Linked DNA regions of Sus scrofa. The protein of the gene in region 1 interacts with the protein of each later gene in a biochemical or structural test. Links are inferred from orthologs where the notes say so. Each region holds a gene or a part of one and is shown in the gene's direction. Other genes may lie near its edges.

What was found. The genes of interacting proteins can lie anywhere in the genome.
Region 2: of the proteins of UBE2I (region 1) and SAE1, one has a biochemical effect on the other in vitro, tested with the Homo sapiens proteins (6 studies listed by BioGRID, with this or other methods). The link is inferred for Sus scrofa from reciprocal best matches to the Homo sapiens genes UBE2I and SAE1.

Annotation. Positions count from the first base shown.
Region 1 is NC_010445.4:40,562,708-40,572,773, reverse strand, and holds the start of UBE2I (SUMO-conjugating enzyme UBC9), read left to right. Parts: upstream 1-3,832; 5' UTR 3,833-3,952; intron 3,953-8,374; exon of another isoform or gene 8,375-8,514; intron 8,515-8,691; 5' UTR 8,692-8,700; coding exon 8,701-8,766; coding exon of another isoform or gene 8,767-8,934; coding exon 8,935-9,018; intron 9,019-9,705; coding exon 9,706-9,778; intron 9,779-10,066. UniProt on the Homo sapiens protein: Accepts the ubiquitin-like proteins SUMO1, SUMO2, SUMO3, SUMO4 and SUMO1P1/SUMO5 from the UBLE1A-UBLE1B E1 complex and catalyzes their covalent attachment to other proteins with the help of an E3 ligase such as RANBP2, CBX4 and ZNF451.
Region 2 is NC_010448.4:52,953,609-52,963,589, forward strand, and holds the start of SAE1 (SUMO-activating enzyme subunit 1), read left to right. Parts: upstream 1-3,865; 5' UTR 3,866-3,967; coding exon 3,968-4,065; intron 4,066-9,981. UniProt on the Homo sapiens protein: The heterodimer acts as an E1 ligase for SUMO1, SUMO2, SUMO3, and probably SUMO4. It mediates ATP-dependent activation of SUMO proteins followed by formation of a thioester bond between a SUMO protein and a conserved active site cysteine residue on UBA2/SAE2.

The DNA of each region.
Region 1 (10,066 bases):
CTGTTGATGCTGAAGATGATGCAAGACACTGGAGATAAACTGAAGGCAAAGACGGATTGTGCGCGGACTTGGTTCCAGCCCAGGCCGCTGAGGCCGTGCCCAATCGGTTCTGCTCAGCACCTTCCTCCACTGGACGAGGCTCCTTTTCTCAGGGGGCCCCCCTTTTGCTGCGGGCGTTTGCTTTTCCAGTGTCCCATCTCCTTTACAACATGCACGTTGCCCTCGTCTCAAGGGCGGCTCCTTCCTGCTCCCTTCTGCCTGGTGGCCGAGGCCACCTGCTGGGCTCGGGGTTGCCTGGTGCGGCCGCCCTCAGGGACACCTTTCGTTTCATCTGCCTTCCGGCTTCCCGCAGGGCTTGCCATCTTGGCTCACAAAAACCTTCCCTGCTGTTTCTAGCAACTGTGACGCGTTCATCCCAGCTAAGCCGTCCAACTTGTGTCTTACAAGCATGTGGCTGGAAGACGGGGCCACAAAGGCTGCATTAACCATTCGCTGATGCCCAGGTGCCTCAGGATCCAAGGGAGGGAAGGTCTGCAAGGCCTCACACAACCTCTCGTAGAAGTCCGTCGGTGTCTCGTCGGATTTCTGGATCAGCACGGTCGTCGTCTTTGTCACATGGGTGGCTTTTGGCTCCGGCCCGCAGCCGTGAAGGAGAGCATTCCGACGGCACCCCAGGGCGCCCACCCGGCCTGAGTGTTGAAGCCCCAGTCAGGTCTGTTTTCTGGAGCTGCCCTCTGTGCCCACCCCTCAAGGTCAAGGGTGCCTGCAGGAGGCTGTCCGTGGAGCCACTTGCAGACCCCTCCTTGGTGCTGGCGCAGGTAGGGAGGAGTTGACGGGTGTCGCCCCAGGTTGGCTGGTGGGCTTGGAAGATGGATTTTCGGAGTGAGCTGGGTGAGGCGCCTCCAGTTCAGGGGGTCGGTTGTGCTGAAGGGCTGGTAATAGAGAACGGGAGGGCCCAGCGCCATCACCATTTGCTTGTTGGGGGCCCCACATCTCCCACAGGGGAGCTTGGAAGGCTGCAGTCATTTGTGCGGACTGCTGAGCCCAGCGGAGTCGTCTTCCCTTTGGCGCTGGACTTGGGGCCCATGGCGGTTGTGGGACTGGTGGAGACACAGAGGGAGGTGGACTGTTTGGCAACTGTTGGGGTGGTGGTTGCACAAGAAAGGGTGGAGCCGTGGGAAGACAGGGCGGAGGCGGCGGGGCTGGAGGGGTGTCGTCTCCTGGGTCTCCTTGTAGGAAAGGTTTAGCCGGTCCTTCTTTTTTTTCCGAGGGCGCTTGGGCCACAAGGATCCTACATTGTCCCTGGCCATTGGTGCAGAACCGGACCCAGGGAGGCAAAGTCCTATGTATGGGAACTGATCGGGGTGTCCTGGGGTGTCGGTGACCACCCGAGAGGCCGCCCTTCCTGTGGGCATGTCTGGCGTGCCCTCTGAAGGCCATCCCACTCCAAAGGAGGGCCACTTTGGCTCACACGGGGTGTGGCGTTGTCCAGGGTTCATTCCGACGCCATAGTCCCCCCAAAAGCCCTTCTTGAAATTCTTGATCATGCAGTTTAAGCCGTGGGCTTAGATTTAGGTGCCCCCGTGGTGTTAGGTCCTGATCTACTGCCCACAGCTAGGAGCCTGCTTCAGTTTCCGTGGCGGATGTCCCTTTTACTGTTGCCTCCTCCACTCCCCAAAGCAGAGCGACCCCCGCTCCGCCCACTCTATGGCGGGGGAGGGGTGCCGGGGGGCAAGCACTTGCTTTGCCACTAAGGATGCTAACCACTCCGGGTCTTGGCCCTTGGGGCGAGTTCTTGGGAATATTCTAAGGCTTCAATGAAACTCAAGGGTCTTTGGATGCAGTCTTCCCTGAATCTGGAGCTAACGTAACACGATCTCAGGATGGTGGGTGGACGACAAAGCAGGTGGACTAGAAGGGGGATCTCCTAGTGTGGCTGCAACCAAAAATCCCCTTTACTCAGCTCCTGGGGTTCTGAGAGCAGGCAGAATGAACAATCCCGAGGTCCACCCAGGATTCGGGCCAAGATTCCTGGATTTCTGGGGATAAGGTCAAATTCAAGATTTCTTTGAAGAACCTCTCCTTTGTAATCGCCGAGGGCAAAGGGGTCTTCGACTCATGTGAGGGTGGTCTCGAAGGGCTAATATCCCACCTGGGTTTCCCCCTGCAAGGCTGTGGCAAGCAAGACAAGGAGGGGATGCCCCTTCATGGAGCACACATTCAGATGTCTGCCTGGCCACCTCTCTCTAGGGAGTTTAGGTGCCTCTTAGCAATTGGCTGGTTCGTATAAACCCCGAACCTGGATCCAACTCGCAGGGAGGTTAGAGAATCCTCAGAGTCCCACGCAGCTGTAAACCGTATGAGGTTACCATGGAACCGCAGGTTAGGACCCACTGGGACCCCGTAGTGGAAACAGTGGAGCCACACAACTGAACCTGAGATGCAATCGTATCAGGCCACAGTCACTCATGCATTCACTCAGCCGTCACAGACCTCCCCCTTGGGAGGTCCCTTCCTGGGGTCGTCAGACTGGAAGACGTAGGTCTCCTCTTCTGCCAGTAGGCAGGACCTGACGGGGACTGGCCTCGGGGCCTTACCTTATTCCGGAGCTTTAACTAGTCTTGCTTGGGAGTTGGTCCGTCTCTCCACCGAGTCCGGTTGGGGTTCGGCCATTGGGAGGACTGGAGCACCGCCACGAAGGAGGACCCGAAATACCGTCGGGTGGAGCACCGCCTCGTTCGCCTCCGGAGCTCCCCAGCCTTCCTGCAGCTTCACCGCAGCCCCGGTGGCTCAAAGGGCCAGAACGGTTGGGGTCTCGCTGGGGCCTCCAGAAATGTTACAGCTCCACGTGCAGCACCGACCAGCGAGAAACCAAGCGACACTGGGAGAGGAGGAGAATTTAGCTCTCATACCCGGCCGGCCTGGGGAAGATTGCTCTCCAGAACCCAGGCCCCGAACAGGGGTGCTACAGGCTTTTACAGGCCAGTTCTTCTGGGTCCACGCTTGGAGGGGTGGACCGGAGTGGGAACTGGAGGAGCCGGCGGCAGGGAATGTTCCAGCTTTAGGTGTGGGTCTGTTAGTGGTCACATGATCATGGGGGGGCGCTGAGCAAGCGGGGCTTACAGAAGCAGAACTTGCAGTTGGAGAGGTTTTCCATTAGTAATGTCAGGTTTTCCCTTTCATTCCCCCAGGGCCAGCCCTGGGTTAGGGAGCGTCCGCTCTTCTCCTCCCATCGGTCGGGCAGCCACGCTACCTTTTGTACGGGGTCAGCTCATTGGGCAGATTCGGCAGACGCCCCGCCCTGAGCCCCGAACTGGCCAATTGCAAGGAGTTTCACGGCCTGCCGCGCGCGAGGGGTTGTCACCGTGCTGCGACGCTTCGGGGATCCCTAGGCCTCAATGATCTTTGCTCCCCGGCCCCGGGCCCTAGCCCCAAGGAGACCTCCAGGACCCGTGCCCGGGGAGGTGCCCGCGGGGCATCCGGGGGGCCCTTGGAGATCTCGGCCTCCTGGTTGCCCCGCCGCACGCCGGCGTGTCCTCGGATAGACGCGGGCCCCGCGAAGGGGAGTTTGCAGACGCTCCCTCACATAAGGGACGCGGCTCCTTTAAGGGCACAGGTGTCCAGGGCGCCGCCTGACTGGAAAGCCGCCCCCGGGGCTGGGCTCCCAGGCCTGGCCCGGGGCGCGGGCGCCCGGCGGCGGGGCACGGGCGGCGGGCGGCGCACAGCGACGTGGACGGCGCGGGGCGTGCGGCGGCAGCGGCGGGGCGCGGGGCAGGCGCGCGGCGGGCAGACTCCGCAGGCCCCGCCCCGCCCCGCCCGCGCCGGGGTCCTCGAGCGCTCGGGCTGCGCGCGGAGCGGGCTCGGGAGGGAAGTCCCGAGACAAAGGAGCGCCGCCGCCGCCGCCGCCGCCGCCGCCTCGTCCGCCTCACTCGCCGGGCCGCGGCCGCCCGAGGTGAGCGCGGCGAGACGGGCGGGCCGGGGACCGGGCCTTGTCGGGCTGGGGCCTCCGCCGCCGTCGGGCCCGGCCAGGCGGGCTCCCTCCACCCGCGGCCCGGCCGGGCCCGCTCCCGGGAACCGGCCTGCCCCGGTGTGTTGACGCCGCGGCGTGGGCCGGCCCGCTGGGCTCCGCGGCCCCAGACGGCGGGGGCGTCCACTCGGGCGCGCGCTCGGGGCGGGTCGCATCGCGGCCGGGCCGCAGACGGCGCCCGCCGCTCGGGCTGCGCTGACAGGAGCGCGAGCGGGCGCCGAGCCCTCCGCCGAGGCGGAGCGTTTCCGGGGTCACGGTCTGCGCGCGAACCTGTGGCGTGTGCCAGCCCTGGAGACGACGCATCGCACAAAGAGCGCAAAGCCTCGCGCTGCGGCAGCGCCGGCCCGTTTGGGGGTGGTGTGTGGTGTCTGTAAATCAAAACAAGTCCGAGTTCTTGCGCCTCCGGAGCCTCGGCCGCAGTTGGTGGGACCCTGGGCACCCGCGCTTCCTTTGACGGGGAATTTTCCTCCTGGGACTGCTTTGTACCAAGTGCACGGAGGCTGGAAGTGGTAGTTGAGCCAGGAGCAGGAAGGCCAGAGAATGATTAGCTGGGCTCGCGGTAACGGCCTGCACCTGCCTCTCAATCACAGAATTCACTGGTTTGGTTTGTGTGGTTTGAAAACAAGCTTAGTTCCTCGGGTTGCAAAGTTGTTGTTCTGTGTTTGCAGAGTTGGTGCCCTTTCCAGACCCCTAACCTCAAACGTTTCTTGCTACTAAGGAAAACTTTTTGGGTTGGAAGTCTTCCCACCAGAAGAGGGGAGTGGATCCCAAGTTTTCCCTGACTTGCTCATGGCCCGCCGGGTGGTTTAGGGGGTGAACTCTGCATCTTGTTGCGATAGTCTTGCTCGGGATTTGGGGCCTGGCTGCAGAAACGGGCAAGAACAGGGCGTGCACCTGGGCTGGAGAGTCTCCCGAGTGCAGGGTGCCTGCATCAGGTGAAGCAAATGCCTTCCCCCTGGGAAGCTGATGTTTGGGTGGGAAGGGCCCATCCTGGGCTGCTGATCCTTGCTCACTTTCACCCTGGGCCAACCCGTGAGTTCACAGTGCTGTGGCTTATCGCACAGCTGAGAAGGCTGAGGCTGGGAGAGAGAAGCATCTCGCCCGCATGTGCAGCCAGTTAGTGGCTCTGCAGGCTTTGCTGTCAAATCGCAGCGTGTGATCTAAGAAGAGGGGATTCAGGCACAGCTCACTCTGGAGGAAGGTGGCGTGGAGACTTCCAGAATCTGCCTGGACATCCCAGCTGCTGTCCTGCAGGCTAGCGGTTCGTGGGTATTTCATCCTTGCATCCTAACAATGTCCATCTCTGGAGTGTCTGCTAACATTCAGCTGCTTCGGGTGACTCTTGGTTGGGGAAGGCAGATTTAATTTTAAGTGGGATTCTGAAGGAGTAGCTCCCCTTGTCATTAAAATGTAACAAATTGGGTGCTTTCTCCCGGATAAGGGAAGGCCAGGCCTCTCTGCCTGGGCCTGTGGCTCTTCACCCTTTTGTTGCCTGGTCTGGTCCCCTGGCACCCCTGAGGAAGGGGAGGCAGGAGTTCCTGTGGGACCCCCCCCATTACCTTTGGCGCAGCCACAGCTGGGCTCTGGGACAGCCTGCAGAGGCAACTTTGTCCCTTGTCAGCAGAAGAGGTGGCCTGTGGCCGGGTGCTGGCGCACGGTCAGCAGGCAGGCAGCACTCAGGATGGCCCCCCTGGCCTGGTCTGCATCCTGGACAAGCCGTGACCCCTGCCCTCCTCCCCGAGCAGCCTCAGTTGCCCATTTAGTATCCATGGCTCCTCAGTGTCCACAGTGGTGCCCTGGGCCTTCATGACCCATGGTCAGCGCCTGGCCAGGTGCAGACTCACGGGGAGCAGCCGCTTGCTGGACTCCTGCCTCCGTTAATTCAGACGTGTCCGCCTGCTGCCGCCTTTGCCCTGGCTGCCCAGGGGCTGCAGAGACCCTCCAGATTCCTCAAGCCCTGCGGGAGGGGCAGCCCCACTAGCTGCTGGAGTGGGTGGGGCAGGGTTCTGTTTAGAAGTGAAGGGTTGGGGAGTTCCCGTCCCGGCTCAGAGGTTAACAAACCCGACTAGTATCCCGGAGGATGCAGGTTCGGTCCCCGGCCCGGCTCAGTGGGTTAAGGAGCTGGCGTTGCTGAGCTGTGGTGTCGGCCAGCGGCTACAGCTCCAATTTAACCCCTAGCTTGGGAACCTCCATATGCCACAGGTGCAGCTCTAAAAAAAGACCAAAAAAAGTGAAGGGTTGGAGGCAGTCAAGGGAAGGAAAGCTTTTCAGACTCGGGGTCACTGCCCCCGCCTCCCTTGGGCGGTCCCTGGCCCTCGCAGCCAGTGACCCTCCTGGCTCTTCTTTCTGTTCCTGGTGAGCCCGCCTGGAACAGTCCCTTGCATTGCTGCAGCTTGTGCCCACGCGGGCACCTGACCCTGTAGGACCGGGTGCCTCCCTGCCATCGTCCTGCTTCCTGTGTCCTGGCACCTAGCACTTCCCAGCACACGTCTTCCTCCTGCGTGGGCCTTCTGCACAGCCACAACTCTGTCTCTCCTCAGTTTGTGTTGTGTGAACAGACAGATCCCAGGCGGGGAGTTCCCATTGTGGCTCAGTGGTAACAAACCCGACTAGTGTCCATAAGGACGTAGGTTTGAGCCCTGGCCTCGCTCGGTGATCCAGCCTTGCTGTGAGCTGCAGCGTAGGTCACAGATGTGATTTGGATCCTGCATTGCTGTGGCTGTGTCGTAGGCCAGCAGCCGTAGGTCTGATTGAATCCCTAGCCTGGGAAGTTCTGTAGGCCGCAGGTGCCGCCCTAAAAAGACCAAAAAAAAAAAAAGCTGTTCTGTTTTGGGTGCAGGACTGGTGTTACTTGTCTGGGACTTAATCTTGAAGCCTGGCGGGGTGAGAGCCTGTGGAAGGTGTGCTCAGAGTGCTGGGGTGGAGCTGCACCTGTTCCCATGCCTCCTGAGTGGCAGGGGCTTCAAGTTTTGACCGTCTCTGTTCCTCATGGTGGCACGAGCACACCTGCTTGTGGACAGTGCACCACATGCAGTTGGTCCGGTGGTCTGCACTAACTCACCCTGCTTCCGAGACCCGGGCTCCTGTGTCGTGCTGGAGGCTGCCACGGTGATCCCCAAAGGACACCCAGAGTTCCCGGCTCCATGGGGCCCCTGGGCCTGGGGCCCGTCCGTGTCATAAACACCCACTGAGGCTGCCATCCCGGCCTCGCCGACCTGCTGGTCTGCGGTTGAATGGTTGCCGCAGCCCCACCCTCCTGCACAGACAGGGGTGTGTTTGTGTTGGGGGCCTGGCGACAGAGCAGCCAAGGAGCAGATGTGGGGTCAAGGTGTGATTTGTGCTGCTGGAGCAGCTGGGGCCAAAAGGGGTGTGGGGTTGGGCGCGCCAAGTGATTAGGGGGCCGGGGCTGCTGTGAGCAGCAGGCGGCGGGCGGACCCCCTGTGTTTGAGGTGTGCCCCCCCTCGGCGGCGGGGTACTTTCTGGATCCTCCCTTCTCAGGCTTGGTAGTCGGCAGTGCTGTGCTGAGGCTGGGGTCCTGGGTCTGGGACAGGGCTGGCAGGGCTGGTTTCCGGTGCCGTCTGTAGCAGGAGTTTGGCCTTGACTGGTTGAGTGCCACGTTGTGGCCGCATCCGCTGCCCATGTGCTTCCAGGATGCCCCCCCCAGGTCCCCCGCCGACTTGTCAAAGCCTTGCGTAGCGGAAGCACTTGACCTGAGGATCCTTAACATTGTCAAAGACACTGAGGAGCACTGGACACAATGAGGGTCAAGTTCTCCAGCAAGTTCTGTGTCCCCTAAGGGCTGCGTCCTCAGGGACAGCAGGGGTTACAGTCGAGCGCCCTGTGCCTGGCCTGCGTGATGCGGAAGCGGCGGGCACCAAGCCTGGAGGGTCTGTGGTCCGGAGGTGCAGGGGGAGCCCCACACGAGGAATGAGCAGGCTTTCCAGCAGCCCCCCTCCAGTGGGCCTGCTCCCCTTTTTGTCGTCTTTCCTAAAGCAAATGGGAGGCAGTCTTGGTTTGCTCTTGGCAGCGGAAGTGGCAGTGATCCTGGGGTGGGGCCAGTGAAGACGCTCAGGCCTGGCGACAGTCGCAGCGGGGTGCTGGCCTTGCCCTCCTTAAGCTGCCCTCTGTCCGGGGAGCTTTCCTCTGCTTCCCTTCCTCCCGGCGGGGCCTGAGCCTAGATTCCGAGCCCCCGATTCTGTGCTGGTGGCCTGACAGCACCCCAGCTGCAGCAAAGGATGCGGCCCCGCCCCTGGCTTCCCAGGGCTCAGGGGCTCGACACCTCCTGTCTTGTCCTTGCCCCTCGTGTGGGGTCTGGTGGTGAAAGTGGGGTCCCTTTCATTCCGGCAGGCGGCACAGCCGGAGAGGCAGGACTGTCGTGCAGGTGGCTGCTGGGAGCACACGGTGTCCCCTCCCTGTGCGGCCTCTAGCAGCCGTGACCTGGGCCCGGGGTCTTGTCTCTGCCCCTCCGGGGGTGGGAGGTTGACCCGGTAGGTACCTGCACAGGCCGGGACCCAGGGGCGCGAGCGTCTAGCCGGCGGGCAGGGCAGCGTGCGGGGCGGCGGCGCGTGGGGCCGGGTGGGGCCCTTTGGGGGCCTGCTCCTTGGACGTGAGCCTGCTAGGCCGGGCCGCCCTGGCTCACCGCTCACCCCGCACGTCTCTTGCAGGGACTGGAGATGTCGGGGATCGCCCTCAGCAGACTCGCCCAGGAGAGGAAGGCCTGGAGGAAAGACCACCCCTTTGTAAGGAAAGCTTTGCTTCGGCGGGGGGCGGGGGGCGCGGGCCGGTTCCCCGGAGACCCTCGTGCCCACGGGCCGGCCCTTTGGCCCCTGCAGCGCAGCCAGAGGGCTTGTTCTGGGAGTGGGGGGGCCACTGCCGCGGCGCTGACGGGCCTGTGTGGTTTCTCGCAGGGGTTCGTGGCTGTCCCCACAAAAAACCCCGACGGCACAATGAACCTCATGAACTGGGAGTGCGCCATTCCCGGGAAGAAGGGGGTAAGAGGGGGCCCCCGAGAGGGCTCGGGTTCAGGTGTACGGGACGCTGGGGACGGTCACGTGAGCCCTGGTCCTGTCCCTGGTGGGGGGGGGGCACCTCAAAGACAGGATGACAGGTGGTCCCTGGGCATGTCCTGAATCAGGTAGGACCTGGGCTGTGGCAGATGGGGAGGGAGGCGCCGCGCGGCCGGGGGCCAGGGAGGTGCCCAGGCTGAGGCAGCCTGGCCGGGGTGACGCTCCCTGGGACGCCTGCCTGCCCCTGGGTGTGGAGGCCGGGCGTCGGCCACCGAGCTGGCTGTGTGGGGCCCAGCGTGCCCTTCATGCCTGGCCACGGGGCTGCCCCTCGGCCCATCTGAGTGTGCCCGGGTCTCTTCGGACCGGCACATGGCAAGCATTTGGGAGGAAGAGTGCGGTGACCCAGGAGGAAGGAGGCGCCCCCTTCTGTGCTGGGTGATGAGAGGCTCCGTGGCCTCCATCCGTGGCCTCGACGCGCAGGAGGGGGACCCGGGGGCCTGAGGGAAGGCCCTTGGCACCTCTTCCTGGGGCCCACGGAGGCCCTGACGGTGCGCGGGGTGGGTCGGCGGGGTTCTCTCGGTCCGGGGCACGGCGGGAGCAAGCGCAGCCCCTGCTGGGCCAGACCGGCCGCGGAGACCCCTGCTCACCTAACAGAGTGTTGCCTCCCCGCAGACGCCGTGGGAGGGAGGCTTGTTTAAACTGCGGATGCTGTTCAAAGACGACTACCCGTCCTCACCGCCGAAATGTGAGTAGAGCCGAGTCCTCCCAGATCCCTCAGCGTCGGCCGCATTCCTCTGGGACCGAGGTCCTCAGAGAGCTTGGGCCTGTGGGGCCTCAGGTATGTGCCCTGCTCCCCGCAGCTCCATGGGCGCCCGGGGAACTCAGAACAGGCCCAGCTCCCACCCCGGGGGCCTCCTGGGCCCTTCCCGCCGGCGGATGAGCTCCCGCCCTGGGCCGGCGTGCGCGCTGAAGGACCGCGGACCAGAGCCGCCCCCCAAGGGGACTTCCTCGCTGGTTGGGGTTTCAGGCCCAA
Region 2 (9,981 bases), on another chromosome or scaffold:
TGAACCATCATCCTCATGGATACTGGTTGGGTTCATCACCACAGAGCCATGGCAGGCACTCCATAGTGAACAATCCTTTGATTGATGAAGCACTGTCTCCCCTTCTTGTATCAGCACCACTCAGGGCATATTTCCCTTGTTCACCTTATCATCACAGGATGTGACACATAGTTGATGTGGTAACCAACCTTCAAGATGGTCCACAAATGATCCTTGCCCCCAATAGTCACACGCTTTCATCATCCCCTCCCACAATGAACAGAGCTGACCAGTAAGTGGCCAATAGGATATTGGTGACCATGTGTGACTTTCGAGGCTGAGGCATAAAAAGCATTCCTGCTTTCAGCCTGCCCTGAAGGATCACTTGTGCTGGGGGACGCCAGTGCCATGTCATGAGGACACTCCAGCAGGTGGACAGACCCACGTGGAGAAGAATGGAGGTCCCCAGCCAGCAACCAACATGAATTTGCCAACCATGTTTTTTTTTGGTTTTGGTTTTTAGGGCTGCACTCATACCATATGGAGGTTCCCAGGCTAGGGGCAGAATTGGAGCTACAGCTGCTGGCCCTTGCCACAGCCATAGCCGCACTGGACCCAAGCTGCATCTGCAAACTATACCACAGCTCATGGCAACACAGGACCCCTGACCCACTGAGCAAGGCCAGGAATCGAACCTTTGTCCTCATGCATGCTAGTTGGATTCATTTCTGCTGAGCCATGATGGGAACTCCCCACTTCTTTTTTTGTCATTTCTAGGGCCACTCCCATGGTATATGGAGGTTCCAAGGATAGGGGTTGAATCAGAGCTGCAACCTACACCACAGCCACAGCAACACCAGATCCTTAACCCACCGAGCAAGGCTAGGGATTGAACCCGCAACCTCATGGTTCTTAGTTGGGTTCGTTAACCACTGAGCCATGAGGGGAACTCTTTTTTTTTTTTTTTTTTTTTTTTTTTTAATAGTCACACCTGAAGCATATGGAAGTTCCTGGGTCAGGGCTTGAATTCGAGTCAGATGATTTAACCCACTGCATTGGGCCAGGGATCAAACTTGCTCCTCCACAGAGACCCAAGCCAATGCAGTCAGGTTCTTAACCCACTGCACCACAGTGGGAACTCTGTGAGTCACTTTGGAAGGGCATCTTCCCCACCTTGTCCTCAGAAGGCTGCAGCCCTGGGAGTTCCACTGGTGGCACAGCAAGTTAAGGATCTAGCGTTGTTACTGCTGTGGCTCCCCCTGCAGCTGTGGTGAATGTTTGATCCCTGGCCCAGATGAAGTCCCCAGCTGGCATCTGACTGCATCCTCATGAGACACTTTGAGCAAGAACTGCCCACCCAAACTGCTCCTGCATTACCGATTCACAGAATAAGAGATAATAGTCATTAAGCCCCCAAATTTCTACGTAATTTATTTCACATCGCTTACCAACAGAGTAGGTATTGGCCATGTTTGTTCTTGTTTTCTGTTTTTTGTCTATTTAGGGCCACATGTGCATCATATGGAGGTTCCCAATCTAGGGGTCAAATCGGAGCTGCAGCTGCCAGCCTACACCACAGCCAAAGGAACACTAGATCTGAGCCACATCTGCGACCTACACCACAGCTCACAGCAACGCCAGATCCTTAACCCACTGAGTGAGGCCAGGGATTAAACAAACATCTTCGTGGATCCTAGTCAGATTCCTTTCCACTGAGCCACTATGGGAACTCCGGTCACATTTTTTTTAATGATATACATCTTTTGTCTTTTTTTTTTTTTTAGGGGTTTTACCCACAGCATATGGAGGTTCCCAGCCTAGGGGTTGCACTGGAGCTGTAGCCACTGGCCTACACCACAGCCACAGAAGATCCAAGCCACATCTGCGACCTACACCACAGTTCACAGCAACGACAGATCCTCAACCCACTGAGTGAGGCCAGGGATCGGACCTGCATCCTCAAGGATGCTAGTCAGATTCAATTCCGCTGAGCCACAATGGGAACTCTTTTTTTGGTGTCTTTTGTCGTTTTAGGGCTGCACCAGCAGCATATGGAGGTTCCCAGGCTGGGAGTCTAATCGGAGCTACAGCTGCTGGCCTATGCCTGAGCCACAGCAACATGAGATCCAAGCTGCATCTGGGACCTACACCATAGCTCACCGCAATACCAGATCCTTAACCCACTGGGCCAGGCAGGGAATGAACCCGCAATGTCATGGTTCCTAGTCGGATTCGTTTCTGCTACGCCATGACAGGAACTCCGAGAACTCTTTTCAATGGTATTTTGACCTGGGATGAATTACTACCCTTTTCTGGGTCCCAGAGTCATATTGTAAAGTGGAGGAAAAGTCTATCTTTGAGGTTCACGGAGTATGTACCCACTGGATAAGATCAGAGCACATAGTAGGAGCTTAATGTACCACCAGCGGTGTAACCTCTTGTATGTGTGCCACACAGCCTGGATTTGAATCCTAGATTCACTACTTCTATGATATAAGACTTCGTTCAGGCTACTGATAATCTGTTGTACCTCAGACTTCTTAGCTATGGTATGGGACTATTAAATAAATTATCTACTCTCATAAGGGTTAGAGAAATAATCCATCCACACAAAGCCCATTTACCCTACATGAGGGGGCAGCCGTTTTTTTCCTTTTTTTGGCTGCACCCTTGGCATAGGGAAGTTCCTGGGCCAGAGATCGAATCCAAGCCTCAGGTGTGACCTATGCCGCAGCTGTGTCCTATACCATGGCTGTGGTAACAATGATCCTTTACCCACTGTGCCACAGCAGGAACTCATTTTTTTTTTTCTTTTTCACTGCCCTAGTCCTAGCACATAATTACTGAATCAACATGCATTTAGTAATTATTTGTTGAATGGATAGTAAAAATGCACTTTGCCTACAGAAAATACACATTAGCTATCACTAACCTACAAGGGCTTACTATTCCCCACCTGCTTCATATTATGATTTTAACTCCTACCATTTCCCACCCTCTCACTCTGTTCCAGTTGCCCTGCCCTCTTCGCGGGCTCCTCAGTTGTGTCAGTAAGCTTCAGGGCCTTTGCACCAGCTGTTTGTTCTCCTGTCCAGAAATGCTCCGTCTACCCAGTTATCTATGTAGCTTGTTTCTACAGTTCCCTTCAGATCTCTGCTCAATGGCATCTTCTCCGAGAGGACTTCTCTGGCCACTGCTGTCACCCTGGAGTGCCATATCCTGTTTTTTTGTCTTTTTTTTTTTTTTTTTTTTTTTTTTTGTTGTTGTTGTTGCTATTTTCTTGGGCCGCTCCCGCGGCATATGGAGGTTCCCAGGCTAGGGGTCAAATCGGAGCTGTAGTCACCGGCCTACACCAGAGCCACAGCAACGCGGGATCCGAGCCGCGTCTGCAACCTACACCACAGCTCACGGCAACGCCGGATCGTTAACCCACTGAGCAAGGGCAGGGACCAAACCCGCAACCTCATGGTTCCTAGTCGGATTCGTTAACCACTGCGCCACGACGGGAACTCCCATATCCTGTTTTAATTTTCCTCTATTTTTTTCCCCTGGGCCCTCCTCAATAGAATGTAAGCTCCCTCTGGACAAGACTATGTATTACTCGACACTCTTTCACAACACCTCCATTGCTGCGATTTCAGCACATGCTCCCTCGTTATTGCTGAATTAATAGACTCACAAACAAACGATCACTTGGGTATCCTCGCGGGTTCAGAAGCCCTGCAGTTTTTTGGCCGGGATTGGCAGCAGCCTCTGTCACGTGACTGGCTCTCGCCTGCCAGCCCGCCCGCTTTGGAGGCTTAGGAGTTCGACTTGGTTCCAGGCTCCAGGGCCGGGTGGCGGCGGTGGGGGCGGTACTGCGCAGGCGCTGTTCCCGGCGCAGGCGCAGACCCGGCCCGGGAGCGCGGCCGGCGGCGGTTGGCGGCGTGTGGGGCCGGCGGGCGGTTGCTGCGAACGGACCCGAGCGCAGGCAGCGAGAGCTGGCGCCATGGTGGAGAAGGAGGAGGCGGGCGGCGGTATCAGCGAGGAGGAGGCGGCGCAGTATGACCGGCAGATCCGTCTCTGGGGACTGGAGGCCCAAAAACGGTCAGGGCCAGTGCGGCTTGTGGGGCTGAGGGTTTGGAGGGGCGTCTGGCCTGAGGCGTTGGCGGCCCTCGGGGAGCCAGAGGGTCGAATTTGAAGAGAGGAGGTGGGAATCATGTACCCGGGCATGGTCGCCCGCTTGAGAGGACTGGAGGGTTTGATTTGGGATGTTTCCTCGGCAGGTATGGGAAGCGAGGACGTCCCAGGGTGGTGGGAAGGCCGTTCTGGGGGATTGGAGGCGTCTAGAGGGGGCGGAGGGAGAGCCCGGAGCGTTCGCGAGGATTCAAGACTCCGGGGCTCGGCGCTCGGAGGGAGTGATGTTGGAATTTAGATCGAGGTGAGGAGGAAGGCTTAGGGTATAGAAGGGGGCCAGGAACGCATGGAAAGGATGAAAGCGGGGGGGAGGTCATAGTTCATTCATTCATAGGTAATGGGAACGTCTTCTGTGCTGGCCGCTGGTGAGACTGGCGAACCGAGCAGATGCGAGCTTCCATTCATTCTTGTGGCCTCTAAAGGGTGGGCTAGTCTGAAAGAATGAGGGGTTTTGAGGTGTCTTGGAGCAGGTTATTTCAAGTGGGAGTCCTGACAGGTTTGAAGCGTCTAGGGGGGCAGGAGGACCTGAAGAGGTTGCTTGTGTCTAGATGTGGGGGCGTGTCCACAGAGGACGGGATTGGGCATCCTTGGGCATGGAGGAGAAATTGTCCGAGGGCGTGAGGTCTTTGAAAGAGGTGATTGATTTAATCAGCTATTGATTGAGCACTTGCCACGGGCACTGTTAATGGGCACGGAGCGTGGGTCAGTGAACTAGGCAGACTCCTTGCTCACCTGGAGCTTATATTCTACCCGAGGAGGCGGTAAACATAAAGAAATAATAAAATATTAAGGAATGTAAGTGCTAGAGAGACAAGGAGAAGAGGAGCAATAAAGGATGGTGAGGTGGGAGAGCTATTTTGAGAGGGGCCAGGGGAGGCTCTGAAGAGGTAACACTGAGCCTCCGACCTGTATGAAAGGAAAGAGCCATCTGGAAGGACCTTCCTGGTATAGAGAACAGCAAGTGTAACATCCTGGAGGCCAGAGCATGCTTGGCACATTGGAGCCTCAGGGTGACTGGAACCAAAGGAGTTGAGTAGCTTTTTTTATTATAAATGTGCTGGGAAACCCGTTGGAGAGTTTGAGCGTAGGCGTAACGTGATCTGATTTGTGTTTGAAAAGCATCACTCTTGTTGCATTGGAGAATAGGTTGATGTGGGCAGAGGTGGGAGTAAGGATTCCAGTTAGGAGGCTGCTGCTGCAGTAATCCCCTTGAGACAGAAGTAATGGTGGCTCGGAACTCTAGGAAAGGGTCAAAAATAGATTCTGGATAATTTGAAGGTAGAGGGGACAGACTTTGCTCAAGGGTTCATTGTGTGGGGTATGAGAGTCTGAACTCAAGGAAGGTTCCAAGGTTTTTGGCCTGAGCAAGTGGGAAGATGGAAGTGCCCTTCCTGACGGAGGTGGGGGAAACTGCAGGTTTGGTGGGGTGGGGGAAGAATCGGGGGTTCTCTTTGGGACTTAGGTTTTTTGTTGCTGTTTGTTTGTTTTGGCTGTGCTTGTGGCATGCAGAGGTTTCTGGGCCAGGGATTGAATCCTCGCTGCAGCAGTGTCCTGAGCTGCTCCAGTGCCAGTGCCAGATACTTAACCAGCTGAGTCACAGGAGAAGTCCTGGATTATGTTTTAGATGTTTACTATACATCTCAGTAGAAATATGCGAATGGTTGAGTTCATAGCTGCGGGCTGGGTGATGGGGAGTCATTATGTGATTGAGGACAGAGTGTAGAATTAATTGATCTAAGGGTTGGGGAAGCAGGCAAGTCAGGAGAACTTAGTTTGAGGGGTAGAATTTTTTGGTGAGAGAGAGTGTGCGTGGTGGGTGGGGTGAGGTTGGGTTACTTCAGGTTCATTTCCGTTGTGCAGGGTCTTCTTGTGATTGGGCACATCATGAGGCATTAGCGAGCCTTGGTCTGAGGATTAAAGGCACCTGAAATAGAAGATGGGAAATTAAATGATGAGAATGGGCCTGAAGACCCAGGTGGGATTGATGGAGTTTAGGGATTGCTGTTTGAAGGATTGGGGTGTTGGGAGGCCCTGAGTGTACCAGAAGAGTTGATCCAAGAGCTTGGGGCAGCAGGTAGTTTTGTTTTGAGTGAGGATTAAACTGGAATTAATGAGGGACCTGTCAGAGGGGTAGAAATGGATGATTTATCTGAAGAGCAATAAAAAGGCATGGGGGTGGGGCTTTGAGGGGGGAGATGACCTAAGGGGCAAATCAAAATTGGGGCATGGAAATGAGAGGTGGGAGTTAATTCTGAGGAAGTGAAGACATACTGAACTCAGTGGAGAACCTGAAAAGGATTGACTGAGGGTCCTGGGAGGAAAGGAAGGGGTTACTTATAAATTGGAGTCTTTAGATTTGTACACAGTCTTACAGAGTTGATGAAAGTGCTCTCATGTTCATTTTTCAGCTGAGTCTCTTAGTAGCTCTTCGGGGAAGGAAGGGCAGTGATTTCCTCCTCTATACAGAAAGGAAGGAGGAAATTGGCTTGCCTCTAAGGGCGTCCAGGATGGAATGAGAGACCTTTGGGCACTGGGGTTCCTTTGCAAAGTGGAAAGTAGCCTGGGAATTGACAGACTGCATTCGGGCCACAGTTTTGCCTCTGACTCTGTACTAGTGGACCAAGGTTGTCAGAATTGTAAGTGAGAGAAACACAAAGGGCCTTCAAGAGAACGTATACAGTCTGGAGGTTAAAAACTATCTCTTATACAGTGTTTTAATTTTTTTTTAAAGTTAGTTGCCAGCATTTAAATATCTAGAGAATTGGCTGAATTTGGGACAATTTGAACATCAGAAAGAATAAAGTTGACTTCATGTAGAAATATTTAATAACTTAGAAATATATGATGTGTCTTCTGATGTGATGACACAAGAATCTCAGTGCATCATCTCCGATGTTTTCCTGCCAAATGTATGTTACACTAATCATGCTTTTTGAGAACAAGGGAGCAAATTAAAGGACACCATTGAGGTAATGATAAGATGTCCCAAATGTGAGACATTTTACAAGACAGTTGCCCTGATTCTCTTCCAGAAGTCATTGTTATGGGGGAAAAAACAAAACAAAACAAAGAAGGGACTGTTATAGATTGAGAGTAAAGAAGAGTGGAGCCAAATGCAAGGTGTGACCCTTGACTGGATCCTGGTTCAAAGATAGTGTTTTTCTAAAAAACATGTTTTAGACAATAGGGGAAGTCTGAATATTCAGCCCTATTAGGTGACATTTGGGAATTATTTTGTAGACATGGTAATAGTGTGGTTATGAAGGAGAATGTCATTTTTGGAGCTATGTGCTAAAGGTATGAAGTTCCATGATGTAGGTTTGTGGGTAAAGCCAGCAGGGCAAGATGTTAACTATTCTTCCTACTTTTCTGTATGTTTGAAATTTCTTTTTCTTTTTTGGCCATCCTGTGGCATATGGATTTCCTAAGGATCAGATTGGAGCTGCAGTTGCAGCCTACTCTGTAGCTGTGGCAATGCCAGGTCCTTAACCCACTGTGCTGGGCCAGGATCGAACGTGCCAGCCCTGTCAGGCCACACAGGAGGAACCCGTGTGTGTTTGAAATTTCTTATAATGAGAAATTGGGAAATGTTTCAGTCTCCGTCCTAGCCACCACCTGCCCCCCTCACGTATGGCGAGTTCATAGTTTCTGATTTCTGTCTTTTGAAAAATGGTAAGGTCAGACATCCCCACATTACATTACATTGGTTGGAACTAAGTAGAGGCCTCCTCTTTTTTTTTTTTTGGCTGTGCCCGGGCATGTGAAAGTTCCCAGGCCAGGGATTGAACCTGTGCCACAGCAATGACAATGCTGAGTCCTTAACCACTAGGCCACCAGGGAATTCCCAAGGCTGCCTCTTATACCCAGCACATGGTCCCTCTACTTGGCCATTGTCTCCATCAGTTCTGTCTCACCCATTGGTAAAATTGCCTGGCCCCTGTAAGCATGTGAGTTTGCATCTCTGGCAGTGCTACCTAGCCCACTTTATGGATGAGGTTCAGGGAAGAGAAGCCAACTATCCCAGGGTCACATACCAATAGAAGTTGGACTTGAATCTGAGCCACTAACTCAGGTTTACTTCTGTGACACCTCGTTTGCTGCACAACGGGGGCTCATTCTTTTAGATTAACTTAAAGGAGAGGGTTGAAGCTTGCAGCGGTGTATGTTCTCAGACTGTGTCCTTCAGCCATTTTTGCACTGCCTTTCACAGCAAAGGCTAGTTTTTCTTCTTTCACTTGACAGCAGTTTATCCCCTGAGAGGAAGAGAGGGTGACTGGGAAGAGAGAGGTAGATGATAAGCTCCATGAGGGCAAGTGCTTTATAAATGTCCAGTAAGTAAGATTTGGGTTTCTCTTGGTCTCTGTTAAATTTCCAGTGCTTGCAAGTGTGTAGACGTTCAGATATTTGTTGAGTGAATGGAATGACTATACACTGCAGAGACCTCGGAAGCCTAGAAACATGGGTTCAGTTCCCAGCCCTGCTGTCTGTGACCTCGGGTGAGTCACACAGTTTCTTGGCCTTAGGTTCCACTTCTGCAGAAGGGGGCAGTGAGTGTGACTAAATCTTTAAGGACTCTTTCTTTTCTTTTTTTTGCTTTTTTGGGCTGTACCCACAGCATATGGAGATTTCTAGGCTAGGGGTTGAATTGGAGCTGTAGCTGCTGGCTTACACCACAGCCACAGCAACGTAGAATGTGAGCCGTTTCTGTGACTTACACCACAGCTCACGGCAATGCCAGATCCGTAACCCACTGAGCAAGGCCAAGGATCAAACCTGCGTACTCATGGATACTAGTCAGATTCATTAACTGCTGAGCCATGATGGGAACTCCAAGGACTCTTTCCCCTGTGAAATTTTGACTTTATAGAAAAGGGACTCTAAAAATTTCCCTGTTTTCAAGCGCTCATTACAGAATACTGCTACTGTTCAAAGAGCACTACAGGGAGTTCTGATTGTGGCTCAAGGGAAATGAATCCGACTAGTATCAATGAGGATGCAGGTTCAATCCCTGGCCCCACTCAGTGGGTTAAGGATCTGGTGCTGCCGTGAGCTGTGGTATAAGTCAGAGATGTGGCTTGGATCCCATGTGGCTGTGGCTGTGATGTAGGCTGGCAAGTGTAGCTCCGATTAGACCCCTAGCCTGGGAATTTCACATGGCACACATGCGATCCTAAAAAGCAAAAAAAAAAAAAAAAAGCACTTTGGTTGGTTCCATGGGCGACTATTTGCCATGAAAGTGACTGAGCAGGTGAGGTCAATCCTGGTTGTTTCTCATAAGGACCAGTTTTTGTCGTGGTTGATAGTGGCTAATAGTTGAATTTGAATCTCAGCTCCAGAACTTCTTTGTGAGTTAACCTTGGATACATTTCTTAACTTCTCTGTGCTTCAGTTTCCTCACTTATCAAATGAAGATGACAGAATCTATGTAATCTAATTGAGAAAAAAATGAATAGAGTTTATACAGAGAAAGCATTCAGTGCATTATATCTACAGTTATTTGCCAAGTATAAATCACCAGCAACAAGAGAGGAGAAACTAAGTAGGAAATAGGTTGAGATAAATGACATAAACAGGGAATGAGTGGAAACTCCAGAAGGACAGGGAAGACTGTAGGAGCAGATTTGCCCAAGCAGATCAAGGTGGCAAATAATCATAAATACAATGAATCAACAGTTGGATGGAGCAGGATTGTAGATTTAAATGAAAAGTACTGTACTTCTGGTTAAGTGAAGAAGAAAGTATTTTTTTGAAGGAAAAAATGGTCAGATCTGCCAAATGGCTCCGTCATTTATCTGGCCACACTGACCAGAAACCTAGGAGTTCTTT